Rhinolophus ferrumequinum: one gene and its partner. The protein of the gene in region 2 interacts with the protein of the main gene of each other region in a pairwise test. Links are inferred from orthologs where the notes say so. Each region holds a gene or a part of one and is shown on either strand. Other genes may lie near its edges.

What was found. The genes of interacting proteins can lie anywhere in the genome.
Region 1: the proteins of rho GTPase-activating protein 7 (region 2) and RASA1 interact in binary tests that used the Homo sapiens proteins (3 or more experiments, as listed by UniProt). The link is inferred for Rhinolophus ferrumequinum from reciprocal best matches to the Homo sapiens genes DLC1 and RASA1.

The regions. Positions count from the first base shown.
Region 1 is NC_046290.1:56,677,043-56,684,569, reverse strand, and holds the start of RASA1 (ras GTPase-activating protein 1), read right to left. Parts: upstream 3,017-7,527; 5' UTR 2,451-3,016; coding exon 1,933-2,450; intron 1-1,932. UniProt on the Homo sapiens protein: Inhibitory regulator of the Ras-cyclic AMP pathway. Stimulates the GTPase of normal but not oncogenic Ras p21; this stimulation may be further increased in the presence of NCK1.
Region 2 is NC_046287.1:69,504,257-69,511,698, forward strand, and holds the start of rho GTPase-activating protein 7, read right to left. Parts: upstream 3,060-7,442; 5' UTR 2,699-3,059; coding exon 2,485-2,698; intron 1-2,484. UniProt on the Homo sapiens protein: Functions as a GTPase-activating protein for the small GTPases RHOA, RHOB, RHOC and CDC42, terminating their downstream signaling.

The DNA.
Region 1 (7,527 bases), on a different chromosome or scaffold from region 2:
CAAGATCACACAGCTAGTAAGTGGTAGTCAGGATTCCAACCCAAATCTTGTCTAACTTCAGAATTTGCACGCTTAACCACTACACTGTATTGCCTCCAATGACTCTGGGTTGATATCTAAGATAAAGAAAAGAGGGAAATTTGTACTTCTCAGTGGCAAACTTAAAAAACATACTAGAAATGGAGGATACTTTTTAGAAATAGAACAAATCTCATATACATAGTCACACAAATATTTTTATTCTCAAATACATAATACCAAATGAAAATCTCATACAATGGACTCCTCACAAACACAATTTTCCTACGTTACGTACGTATTTATGTTTATTACAAAAAACTTAATGGGAATGCTCTGTATTTTCTGCTCAATTTTGCTGTGAATCTAAAATTGCTCTACAAATTTTATTTGTAAAAAATTTAAAACTACAATATACTAAATATGCCTAACTCAATTATGAACTGGCATAAGACTATATTCTTTCAGTATGAAAAGTTGCACTTTATTATAACTATAATGCTGAGTATGTAGTGGGTACTTTATGTTTAACTGATTTTTTCAAAAAGGTTTGAAGGTGTGTAAACAGTGTGTAAAATCTGAATTTTTAACACTCTCAGAACACCTTCAGAAAAGTCTGCAATACCTAGACCTGACATGGTAAGTTTGAATACAATTAGATAAAGAAAATTGAACTCGTATTGAACAACATAAAGGAAAACAACACCCCTATACCATGGCTGACATAAGACTAACTTTACTTTTCTACCTAAGTATCAAAAGATGTAAGACAGAATAGGCTTACATCTTAAGACAGAATAGGCTAGTATTACAGAATTTTCCTAATTTGTTTTTAAAGTCCTTTCTAAATATTCCAAAGAAGCTTATCCAAAAAAACTTTTTTAAGTAATACTTTCAAGTGTCCAGAGTAACTGTCAATCAAACCTTTTTTTTCCTCTGATATTCACCAAGGTTGTAGAAATTCTAAAGGTCTATTAGGACAGCTGTGAGAGTTCTATACAAGTTTTGCCTCCTATCACCATCCGAACATCAACATTTTCCTCTCATCAAGGTCCACCTTCATACATAAACACATACCTAAATTCAATTATGAAGATAACAAGAGAGATGTACTAACTTTATACGGAAAAGTCATTTGTTCGATATATTCTGCAGTAGACTGTCAAATTTAGAAATAGAATACTGTATTGGTCACCAATGAAAAGCGTTGAAAGGGAAGCACACTATTAATTTTGTTTTACTTCAATATTGTACTTACAAAGTCTCAACTATAAAAGAATGGCACTAATATTAATACACAGGAATTCAATGGCACAAGTTACAGATACTGTAGGAGTACTGGCCCTTAATCACACCTGTAAGTCATAGAACTTTTCTTTCTCGCTGACACAGGTTTTCATAAGTCATCCAAAAACTTTTGCATCGCTATGCTTTTCAGTAGGCAGAAGTTAGAATTTGCAGTGGAACAAAAACAAAGCATTCTGACCAAGGCATGTTTTAAATGATAATCAGTACAACACTCATTCAAATACTTGTATTCAAAACTTCTAATTAATCATCCAGCTCCAACAGAGAACACACAGGTTAGTACTATATAAGACTACGACTGCCCTGGTAGCTGCCAGCTCAGCTGAATCCCAGGACGCCACCTCAATTGAGAAGGGGTAGAACCACATCCGGTTGTCACCTGATACACATTTCCCTATGCTTCCCATCTTAAAAACTTCACATCTTCCCAGAGGAAGCCAGGGAATGTGCCCGTAGGGAAGATAAGTGATCAAATTAAATCCCTACGCGTAGAACTTGACGCTTCAAAACTTTTCACAACAAATTATAGCTGACAGAACGAGTATGTTTTTCCACTTATTTGCAGGAGCCAACTTTCCCCGTCACTGAACAGCGGTCTTGACTTACTGGTTAGTTGGAGGAGCGGTCAGCGGGATGGCCACCTCTTCCTCCTCGTATTCTGGTCCATCTAGAGAGTCACCTTCGTCCACTGTTCCCAGGCCCGCGCCCAAAGGGGGCAGTTGAGGAGGAGGTGGCAGAGGAGGGAATCCGCCGCCTGCCCCGAAGTTCTCAGCAGGCAATGAAGTGGTCCCTTTGGTGAGAGCCATCTCCCCACCAGGTCCGGCGGCGGCAGCACCAGCCACGCCAGCAGCAGCACCTCCCCCTGACAGTGCGGCTCCCCCCAGTGTCCCTGCCACAGACCCGGCTCCTAGGAACCCTGACCCCAAAGCGGCTCCGCTACCCAGAGTCCCGGCCACTCCGGCCTCCGCCAGCCCAGGATAGGGGGCGGCTGCCACAGGCAGGGCCGGAGGGATCTTCACCCGACACACTGCCGGATAGGCACTCGAGCCCGCGGCCGCGCCGCCTCCTGCTGCCCCGGCGGTCACCGGACCGCCCTCCTCACTGCCGGCCTCGGCCGCCATCATGTTGAAGTCCGCTCTACTCTGCCTTACCCAGCCCGCCCGGGAGCCCCGGGGGCCACCAGGCCCGGGCTCCGAGCCGCCCCACCCAGACGCGTCCCCTCTTCAGCTCCCCAGGCGGAGGAAACAACAACAAAAGGAGAGTCGCCGCCGCGCCCCCTCCTCGGGCCACAGCCCAGGCTCCCGAGCTGCCCGGGTTACGGGAAGCGAAGTGGGCAAAAAACCCAACGCCTGCACAAACGCCGCCCAAACCTTCCCCTATACACCCACACTCACGCACATACATGCACAGAAGCGAAAAACTTCCTGGCTCACTAAAGAGGAAGGGAAGCACAGGGGAAGCGGCTGGGCGGCTGCCGCTCCTTGGGCCACCGCCGCTGCCGCCGCCACCGCTTCACCACCCCAGTTCCGGCCACCCCCACCGCAGCCACCGCTGGTGCCGCTGCTGGGGCTGGGGCCACTGCAGCCGCTTCATCCTCCACCGGCCTGGAGACGGGAGGGGTGGGGAGAAAAGAGGAAGGGGGGCGGGGTGGTGGGGAAGTCGACTGAACAGCTCCCAACCTGGAGCTCTCAGTGAAATAGACGAGAGAGAAAGGAAGGCGGAGCACCGGAGGAGGAGCGGAGGGAAGGAAGGGCGGGGAAGGAGGAGGGAGAGGGCGCTTCTGCACAGGCGCGTTGCGGGAGCGGGTGGGGAATGGGCCTGGAGAAAGGAAAAGGAAGAGTCCGGAGGGAAGGAAGCAGCGGGGACGCGCGATGCGCGGTCGCGCCCGCTGTCCCACTCCGGTTCGAGCGCGTGGCGGCGCGGCCGCTTCTCGCATCGGTGTCGCCAGTGGCGCGCGCCTGTCTCACTGGGCTTTGTTTGATGGGCGGGTGGGGAGGGGAAGGGGAGAGTGGGTATCTAAGCAAGCTGCCGCTCAGCTCCGTGAAAACAGGAGACAGAAGGGTAAGAAGCCTAGAGAGGAAGGACGGGGAAAAGGAACGGAAGATGCTGCAAAGCCAGTTCACAGCTTCCTGACCGGTAGAAAAAACACCATTAGCCGGCGGCGCAAACACCTAACGGCCAAGGACCGGGGTAGGGGTGTTGGGATGGGGGACTTGCAGACTGCCTCGAAGGTTGAGGCAGTACTAATGTTTTCATTTTTGTTGCATAATATAAATCACTATATGACTATTGCAAACTAAAAAAATGAAATAAAGCTCTAGGCTGTGAAACTCAAGAAAACGAAATGGATACGGGGGGAGCGGGGGTGGGGGAGAGAGACTATGGGAAGCGTTAAGAATTTTCGCAGAAATAATGGCTGTGAAGTCAGATTTCTATGACTATACACGTTTTGTTTTCTTCATTGACCTCACCTCCTCTGTTTCTCTCTCTCTCTCTCTCTCTCTCTCTCTCTCTCTCTCTCTCTCTCTCTCTCTCTCTCTCTCACACACACACACACACACCTGTGCCATTGCCAAGTCTATTGGGTACTAATGAGGTGTGGAGAGGAGGGGTGCTACATACCACACCAATCAATACACTTTTGTCCTCTTCTATGTGAAAAAGAAAGCAAGGCATGCTCCATAATTCACATGTAACACACAAGAGGACTTTCAACAAGGCAAATGTCAAGAATATCCGGAAGTGCCCATTCAAAAATTATCAATAAACTGAGATCTCACCCTTAATATAGCCAAAAAGGAGGTGGGTTTTGTTTTGTCTTTTATACTTCTATACATGACTTGTATTCATCTTTTGTTACCGGTATATATTGAGTATTACAATTTTAATACAGTTTCCCTTTCTTAAAATGTGTATATGTTTTTTGGCACCCTCCGTGTATGTATGTGTGTATATATATATATATATATATACACACACACACATAGACACACATACATACATATATATGAATAAATATGTATTTATAAACACATGCATTATCACATACTATTATATGCATTATCGCAAAAAAATGTGTACAAGTGGACTTTGGTCAACATTGCTCAAGCAGTAGTTTGCCGTAATCAGAAGTGTCTGGACACTGATGGTAACCACTTTAATCACCTCTTGTAATTGCAGAAATCAAACGTGATTTGTAGTCATCTTTTATTATCGATATGTATTATTACAATTTTAATACAGTTTTCCTTTCTTAAAATGTGTATACATTTTTTGGCACCTTCTGTATGTGTGTGTGTATATATATATACACACACACACTATATATATACACATATATATGAATAAATAAAACTTATAAACACTATTATATGTATTTATATAGGTGGAGGAATCATTCCCTTAGTTTGAAATTACAGTATAGGTAATTTGCCCTTTTGGATTCATATATCGTTCTTTTAAATTCTCCCAGGAGGAATCCCACATTAAATACCAGTAAACATTGATCTTTGAGATCGATATTTTCTCTAAGGATGATCAAACCAACATAGCACATTGGGGATGGGAAAGGGCTGTTACAGAGGCCCTGGGAAAAAAGGAAAAGACTATTAAAAGAGTTGTAAAGGTGCATGAGAGACAATTTCCTTTACTTTAGCAGTTTGCATAATCTATTTGCCAAATCATTGACAAACTTGATTAAACAGTAGTCCTGAGGACTCCTTCAGTGTGCTTACTTCTTCACAGTATATCACTTGGGAGAATGAAGATGGACTAGTCACAAGAATGGTCTCAGACCACCATTATCCTAGGGCCTTGTTAGAAATGCAAATTCATTGGCCCCATTTTGGACACTCTGAATTAGAAACTGCAGTAATTAATGTTTTAATGAACCTCCAAGTTTACCCATTTAAGAACCACCTTACTATAGTATGCTAATCAGGTAGGAGGTATGCAATACCTAAAAATGGTTCTGAAAGAAAGAGGAATAGGTGAGAAAGCCAACTCAGTATCACTCATTAGGTAGGTGGGTAAGAGATGTACGTATTGGGTTGCTAAACTCTATGTTATTCTAGAAAGGAGATTAGGACGTGAAAAAGTACATAATGAAGTAATTCCATAATACTAAAGAGAATAATGAAGACCTACTTCTTATAGTGGCCAACCTGACGAAATTTTGTATTTTTTTTAAACTTAGATCCTCACAGTTAGAAGAGACCATCAAAATACCTATTCCACCCACTGCCAACAAATTTACATGTAACCTGTGTTTGAAAACTCTGTGTGTTAACATGCCAGTCCTGCATCACATCCATCCCAATTACCACCATCAGCTTTTGAATGTAGGAGGTTGGGCTGGCAGATATCACCAGCTCTTGGTTATCACTGGTCTCTCTTCCCTAAGAGCTCACACACTATCTGTTGCCTGAGATTCCAAGTCAGACTCTCTACTATAAATTGCAAAATTACCTCCTTCCCCTTTTTTGACATTCCTTAGCAATTAAAGGCCAATATGTAATGAAGTCCAACACCAATCAGATACTAAGTTATATAGTTTTTTAGTTACTTTTAGGTGGATGTATCTGCAAAACTATACTGCAAATAGAAACCTGTGGTCTATCCTACTGCCTAGTCCAGTGATAGGCATCCTTGCCAACTGCTTTGAACAGATCTCCATCCTTTTAACAAATACTGGAATAGATCAGTATCTTTGGACAGCAATTGTGCAATTAGTAAGAAAGACTCTATTTTAAATCAAACTAATACCAACATCTTACCTTATATTTAATCTTACAGTTTTGCTGTCCTTTTCATCCAAAAAGATTACCACGTATTTTTGATGAGGTATTTTCAAATATGTTATATATTTCTTTTATTTGACAGATGTAGGCTTTCATCCTTACTCTTCCTTGCGTACTTCCTTAATCTCAAATCAGTCATCTACCTTCAGTGACATTTTATTTTTTCCAGAAGAGTGAAATGTTTCTACATTTATTTTTGTCTATTGCCTTATTTCTTTTTCTTCTCACCTTGACCCTTTGCCCTTCTCTCATTCATGTTCTCTTTTTTCCTGCTAATTTCTACTTCAATTTATGCTTCCGTGTTTTCCTTTTCTTCTAAGCCCCTGAATTTCCTGACATAGATATACTCCTTGAAGTTTCATGAGTCAAAAACTGAAGAAAAATTTTTTAAAAAAACAATGAAATATCTACATGGAGAAAGGCATTACAGGGATTCTGCAGGAATTGATGCTAGGTGTGGTGTTATGTAACACCAACTAACAAAGGGAAGTAAACAGTCTGTTAATTAAATTCACAGATAATATTAAACAGGAGGTACTGAAAAACAGAACAATATCCAAAAGAGGAAAATTCAAATAGCTTTTACCTTTAATAAAGCGATTTTGATATCTATGATTTTAGAAAAGTATCTCTACATATTTAATTAAACATAGTATTTAATGAAGACTAAATGATCAAAAATGCTGAACAAAGACTTGTGGGTGAAAAGAATCTGAACATTTAATTTAAAAAATGAATTTGGCTCATTCTGATTATATTGGCATCCCAAATATGAATGTAATACATTCTGAAATATTTTGCAGTTTTGATACCTCAGTGTGTGAAAGGTAATTCTGAGTCAGTAACAAAATTTTACAGGACCTCAAGAGGGTTAGATCAAATATATGAGTAGCTTCTGAGGGAAAGACTAAGCAAGAAGTGATGAAGAGCTTGCAGCTGTGTTTGAAGAATTGCAAATTATGTTTCATGCCCTAGTACATACTTAGGTATACAAACAGACTTCTAAGTTTTTCTAAATAGTGTCAAAAGGTTTCAGTTACCCTAAAATTTGAAAGGAAACCTTTACTCCTAACCCCTAATATCCCTGGTGCATTTGTTGCCCACATCTTAAAATGCCCAATATTAAAAATTTCCTTATTGAGGATATGTTTTGAGAAAATAACATTGAGGAGGTACGGGTTAAAGGAATATTTTTTATTTATTAAATTTATTTGGGTGACATTGATTAGTAAAATTATATAGGTTTCAAGTGTACATTTCTGTAATACATCATCTGTATATTGCATTGTGTTCACTACGCAGAGTCAGATCTCCTTCCATCACCATATAGTTGATCCCCTTTACCCTCTTCTGTCCTCCCTCCCCTCTTACCCTCTGGTAACCACTACACTGTTGTTTCTTT
Region 2 (7,442 bases):
ATCTGGTATCTTTTCCAGAAGCAACCAAGCTTTGCTTGGTCTTTGCTCTTTGAAATGCAATATAGAATGACAACAAAATAATAAACAAAGAAAGGCTTTAGGTTAAAGTGCAATAGAGTCTCTCTTTTTCACTACACAGCTACAGGAAAATCCTTTGCCTGGTCCAGTGTATTAAAACTTGGCACACTGCCTACAATTAGTCACAGTTAACTGCTTAACTGTTCAACCTTTTTACTCTTCCAGGAGTAAGTGGTGTTTCTTATAAGATCTACAATTGGGAATTTAAGACACAATGGTAGTCACCAAAACCACTTTTCCCATTCACTCTAGGGAAAGATTTAAGTTGGGAGATACTTATTCTGATTCTGCGTAGCTGGGAAACCAAGTCAGGCCCCGTTCTTGAGCTTCAGCCTATTTTGTGTCAGGTGTCACTCAGCTTGAATTAAAATAAAATCCGTTTTTGTTAAAAGCAAACTTTTAAAAGCAGCTGCAAGAGAAAGTCAGTCTGCTGTGCTTCATTTTAAACTCTGAACAGTAGTGCTAATGAAAAAAATATGCACCCAGGTTTGGGCCACGCTGTAAATCTGGCATGCCACAATAAAAGTTAATACAAGCAATCGCCAACATTTTCTCAGAAAATGTCTCGAAATAACTTCTGAACGCACATCTGCTAACTATTTGACACTCATTCCCCAGGATTTTAGTTCTTCTATTAGGGGGTCTGTTGACTTACAGGGCACCCCTCTGACCATCTGCTGCAGTCTGGAAGCCAAGATGGCACTGGGTGCCTCCATTAATTCCACACTTATGGTCTGCAAATTATCTCTGCGGAGGACCAGCCTGCAGTCCAGATGGATGCTGAATTAGTCAACCTCTTGGAGCTGCTGATAGATTTACATTCAGAGTTCTGCTGGCCTATTATTTTCTCTCATCCTTTCAGCAAACAGAGTTTGGAAAAAAATGTAATTTGAGACTCAGAATTCTGCTTTTTCCAAAACTGTGATTTTTTTTCCTACCCAAATGCGTCATAGATGCCACCCTCATGAATCTTTCTGTAGCGGATAGCTGTGCCTAGGCTGCATTCCTCCACCTCATCAACAATGGCTGAACCAGCCTTCAAATCCTGAGAATGAACCCATTTGCTAACCATGTTGGATGTAGAAAAACTCACTCAAAACTAGTGTGAGGCAAGGTTTTCTTCTCCCCAGTGCAGACTGACTATATGCAGGGAGTTTCCTTCTACAATAACTAGCATAAATTGGGTATTTGTAAAACATCAGTACCAGACACTGTGCTAAGCACTCGTATTAGCTCATTTGACTCCCACAACCGCTTCGCGCAGTAAACGCAATTACTATCCCCACGTTTCAGACGAAGGAGGTAGGCCCTGTCACTTCCTAGATTCGTCCAACTACTAGGCTGCAGACCCAGGATTCCAGGAGTTAGAGCGGACCCCGCAACCTGCCTCTCCCGGGGTCCCCTCTAACTCCCTTCGAAATATGGGTTATGCGCTGGAAAGACGCGCGTTGACTCGGTCAATTACACGTGGCAGGGCCAGTTTGCTACAGCCGGGGGCGCAACTCCTTCGGTAGGATCAAAGGCTCGGCCCGTGACGTTGGAGGTGGGGACAAGAGCACAGAGTGGGGCAGAGTTCTAAAAGGCCGTCGCCTCACTCCGAAAAAAGTCGGTCCGGCGGCGTGTTTCCTTCCTTTCGCTGGCTCTGGGAGTCGCTCAGCGCCGGCGCCCCCTCGGGAGCCAGGGGCGTGGGCATCTCCACCGGACATTTCAGGAAACCGATTCAGCGCCCCAGAACGTGAAGCCACACCGCAGCCTTTCTCGCAGACCCCCCTCACAAACCATGGGACTAGCCAAATTGCTTCAAAGCTCTCCAGGGGCCGGCAGCCACCAGAGACTTTCCTACGTCTGCCTTATTGTCCAGCGTTTAAAATATTTGAACAAAAACAGTTTAAAATTAAAACAATTTTTTTGGATGAATTTACTTTCCGTTTTAAAAAAACAAAACATTTCCATGTGCCACCACGGTCTAAACGTCCTTAAATTATTAATAAACTTTCAGGGAATCAACGCTGATTTTGAACTTGTACGGTGAAGGACAGCAAGTACCGAGCCCTGAAAGGTCTCCGAAGGAAATATGCTAGAAAGGCTGTCACGCCACGTCCCTGGGAGCCGGAGGCCATCGCCGCCTGGGATTTCCAGCGGGGATAGAAGATGCCTGGCCCTGAGCCCCCTGCCTGACCCTACGCCCCACGCCGGGTCCTGCACCCTTAGCCCGGCCCTACGTCCCAGCCGCAGCGGGAAGTTAACCCGGGCTTAACTTAATCAGTCGCGGTCGCCCCCAGCCCGCAGCCCTTCTTGGAACCCACTGGACGCGCCAGCCCGAGGCCCCCAGGCAATGAGCAGCCAGGGGTCATTACCTGAGATTAAGGACCCCCACCCCAACCCCTCGTTTTTCCCACACTCCACCTCCTCCACTCCAAGAAACTCGGGCGACTCCATCCCAAGCCTCCTCGGAAAGCGTTTCAAAAGCACAGAACGTCAGGCACCGACTTGATAAGGCGGGGTGACATTTCCTCCGCGGTGGGTCCCTTCCGCAGCTGGCTCCCGCGGCTGGCCTAACGGCAAGGCACAAGTCTAGCTTACGTGTTAGGATCATGGTGTCCGGCTTCTTTCTGCACATCAAGTGCGGCTGGGGGTGGCAGGCACGCAGTAGGGAAATCGAGGCAGCCGGAGGCAGCTGGGCTCCTGCGCCAGGACCCACGGCGGCACCCAAGACGCGCGCCCCGGAGGTCCTCAGCGCATCCTTGCTCGCCTCTTGGTGCCACTCGCCACGGCCCCAGAAAGAAACGGGGTTTTCCAGAGGTCGAAAAGGAAGAGCGTTCAAGGAGCGGGGCGAGAAGCCCGGGATCGGTTGCCCCTGCTGCGGAGAAGTTCGGCCATGGCCAGAATGGGAGCGAAGCGCCCTCGCACAGGCGGCTAGAGCGCACTGCCTCCCGCGCGACCTCCCAGCCTCGCCCTCCCGCAGGGCCCACCCCAAGGGGAGGGACGAGGCGGCTCAGCTTTGCCTCCTCACCGCCTCCTGGGTAGCACGCCACCGCCTCCAGCTGTTTTCAGGCCCCGCCCCCTCTCCTGGGCCAGCCCAGCCTCGCGCTCAAGCCCCGCCCACTGCCCCGCCCCTGGTCTCCTTCCCGGGGCTGGGCTCGCCAGTCTCAGCTTCAGCTTCAGGCAATCCTCTGGTCCCGCCCCTCTAGCCCCACCCCGCACCTCCTCTGCAGAGTCTGGAATGTTTTCCTCTGGCCTGCACGTCTGCAGCAGGAAGCGCCTAAAGGTCTCCAACTGTTGGCGTCTGGGGCAAAGGCAAAGGCTGTACCCACGAGGCCTCTACTTGTTGGGGAGCTCTCGGCTGAACACTGGGACACCGCGCCCTTTCCTTGTTTTTCTTGGTAGCTTTCAACACTTAAAAATCTCTGTGATTCTCCCTTTCATCCTGGTAGGAACCGTATAAATTCGCGGGAATCGAGGAGAAGCAGGGAAGTACGGATCAGTCTTTCCTGATGTGTAAAATGCGGAGAAGAGTACCTGTCCCTTGGACATTCAGTATTCATTGCTAAGGCCCGTAGGCGTACAGAACAGAACGAATGCAAGCAATTAACCCTGCTGTAAAGAAGGATGTTTTCACTCAGCACGTGTTGAGTCTACTGTGTGCAATCGCAGCCAGTGTTTCTCAAAGTATGGCCCTTGGGCTACAACCAAACGCAGCTCCTGGAACTGGTAGGATCCGACCCCAGACTGCAGAATTAGAATCTCTGATGGTAATAATTTGCATTTTTATAAGTTCTCAGGTGATTCAGATGCATTATAATTTTACGGCCCCAGACATACTTAGGAAGCCTAATTTTTAAAGATCATAATTGAATACAATCTCTAAGATTTTAAAAAATCCAGACCAGAGTTCCACGAAAATTTACTTTGGGGCTAATTGATGCTTTCTGCCATTACTTCTGGGCAAAGAAAACTACTAATGTAAAACCATTCATTCGACAAATACTATACTGAGAACATTTACTACTATGTGCCCCAAACTGTTTTAGGCTCTGGAGATACAGCAGTGAGCAAAACTGACAGACATCCCATCCCTCCTGGAGTTTACTTCTTAGTGGGGAAGATGCACAATAAAGAAAATAAATAAGTGAAATATATGAAGTGTCTTAGATGGAGCTATATAAAGCAAGGGAGCTGGGGGCAGAGTCTATTTTTAAATGGATTTAAATGCAAATGGAAGCGTTTAGTCTCTCTTAGTTTAAAATGATTGATTTCATAGTCATATATTAGTTTACATACAGAAAATTCTTTTTCCTTCCAAGTTTTCAAAAATGAAATAAAAATACTACCTCTAATCACTGGCTCCCTAATTTAACCCAACCAGAACTGGGCTCTGGGGAGTGGTATTAAAGGAGGGCCTGGGCTCCTCTAGTCAACAGATATTTCCAGGGCTTTTACCGACTGACAACTGCTGGGGACACAAAGGTAAGCAACGGCAGGTCACCTCTGCCTACCCAGAATTAACAGTCTAGTGGGGAGGAAAAAGAGATGCTGTGAGGGCTAGGAAGGGGGGACCTGATAAGGCCCAAGACAAGAAGAGGGAGCTGCCCACTGAAGTTTAGATGCTGGGAGAACTGTCATGATGCCACAATTGCCAGCAAGGGGGACTGTGATTCTAGGGGATCCTGGAAAAGTAAGGACAAGAACTTTTGATTTCCCTGCATGACTGTGTTAAGGATTTTTTAATCCTTAATAAACAGTGAGAAGCCGTTTTAATGGAAGAAGGTATTCTATGATCAAATTTGCATTTTGAAAAGATCATTCAGGCTGCAGGTGTGTATTTCAAACCTGGAAAATAGGAATACACCTCCTAAACATACTAATTTCTTTATTAAAAATGCAAACCTTATATAAAATAATATTAAATGTCAACTATAATTAAAAAAATGTATAATTACGGGATGTAAAGTACAGCATAGAGAATATAGTCAATGGTATTGTAATAGCTATGTATGGGGGTCAGATGGGTAGTAGACTTGTTGGGGTTATCACTTTGTGAGGGGTATAAATGTCTAATCACTATGCTGTTTTGTACACCTGAAACTAATAAAAAATAAATTTTAAAAATGTAAACCTTAAAGATACAAATATTCTAAGCATCTCCTCCAAAGCATATCAATTCTCAGAATACATTCTTAATGCTTATTATTAGCCGGGTGAAGTTGTATTTTAGTTTAATTAGGAGTCTGCCATCCTGATGTACCCACCCCCACTAAGTATTCATCTTTCCCAAATAAAGCCTGCTAACTTTTTGTCTCTTCTCATTCAAGCCCCGTTTCCTTTTCCTTGATTATTGATGTTGTTTTCTCTGGATCTTCTTTAATTTCATTACATCTCCAGGGAGATTCGTGTTATGTGGGTTGCTCACTGTCTAATACTAATAACTCCAAAAACATTTTCCTTGGTGATGCATTGGTTGGCATTTGGCCTTCACCGAATGTCATCATCTTCTTTCATTCTTTGGTTTATTGACATAGTCTGTGTCCTGCACCAAACTCTAATTTTCATAGTTTTAATTCTTACTCTTGTTAGAGATGGACATGGTACACTTTGAAAGCTGCTACACTTGTAGAATAATGGTTGAAAGCAGGATTTTGGGAGCAGGCCATTAATGGCTGTTATGATGAATACTTTATTTGGCCTCTCATATTTCGTCTTTTAAAAAAAGAAAGAGAGCATTTCTCATGGGGTTTTTAATGAGAATTGAGTAAGATAATGCACATATAATGGGCACTAGATAATGTTAGCCATTGTTATTATATATTACTAGCTGAGCACATAAACAAAAACATGCAATTTCTATTTAAATAATTGTCTAGGAAAAGATTGAAACAAAACAAGACCTTAACTGTAATCTTTCTGAATCTGAGGAGCCTTTACAAACTGGGGTAAGGAAGGAGTGGAAAAGTCATTAAGAGTGTCAACAAACAGAGGTGCTTTACCAGATGAAAGAGGGTCTAAGACAGTTCAGTTCTTCCCCTTCATTTAACCTTCAACTCATCACCCAAGGTTTCCTTTGTCCATCATAGGCAGATGACATTAGACTGGGTTTGTTAGCTGATCTGGAGTGAGATTTGGGTATTGAAACACTAGACTCTAAGAGGCTGGGATTAATGCAGCCCATTTCCCTGCCAGCAGTCTGTGGTCCTCTGAAACCCCTTCAATACATGGGAATAAACAACCATTACAAATTACATGAGGCCTTATTGCAGGGGTGTCCAAACTTTTTTCAACGTTTTTCACCAGGGGCCATATGCGGTAAAATACACAAACAGCCGGGCCACTCACTCGAGGTGAAGTACGTATTGCCTCACCTGGTTTATTTAAGTAAACTAAATATATTTTTGGAATTTGCTGCGGGCCAATTAACAATGGATTGCGGACCGCAGTTGGCCCGCAGGCCGCAGTTTGGACACCCCTGCCTTATTGCTACTGTTGTTGTCAATGATTTGTTCTCAATGTCAAGTTAAAAAAGACAAAAGGTTTGACGTGAAGGCTATGCCGTTTGCAGGTAGCCATGCTCTTCTCAGTCTGGGCATCTGCTTCACAGAAGCTATTCACAGGGATATCCATACTCTGTCTATTTGGATGTTTTCACATTCAACTGTCGTATTACAAGGCAAGAAAAATCACATAGCTAACTCTTAAACTGCATTACATAAAGCTGAGTGACTAAGAGGGCTACTCTGGTTCCTACTCTATTTTAATGATTGATATTAGATATCATTGTTATTGTCCTACATAGGACACTCTTTTGTATTTTTTTCACTATACTGTTTTAAAAAAAACAACAACCCCCAAACAGCGCAAAAAAGTGTCTACAGGCAGGTAATACTAGTTAGAAACACAAGCCACAACAGGATGGAGTGAACTAAGGAAGACAGGACCCCTCTAAGAGGGGCCCACTTGATTGTTGGCATATGTTAACACAGCAATCCCACTGCTCAGGGTTTAAAGATTTTTAAAGTATCCCTAGATGTCTATAGTTTTATATCAAATCTCCCAATTTTTAGATGCCGGCAATGGATTTTTTTTTAAAAAAAAATTTAAACCCATTCCAAGTAATTTCAACTTTGGGCTTCATTTAGCCCTGGGGCAACTAATGTAAACCTCTGCTCTAGTGATCTGAGTCAAGCAGTCTCTTTGGAAATTTATTTCTCTCCCATAGGAACTAAAGGATTCCTGCGCTTGGAAAGTGTTGTAATATAATTTGCGTTCAATGGAAAATTATGAAATTCGTGCCTAAAACAATTTTATTTGTAATGTTCGAAGGAAATATGACACATAATAGAAAGTTTTGAAAATAATTTTTAAACAGTATT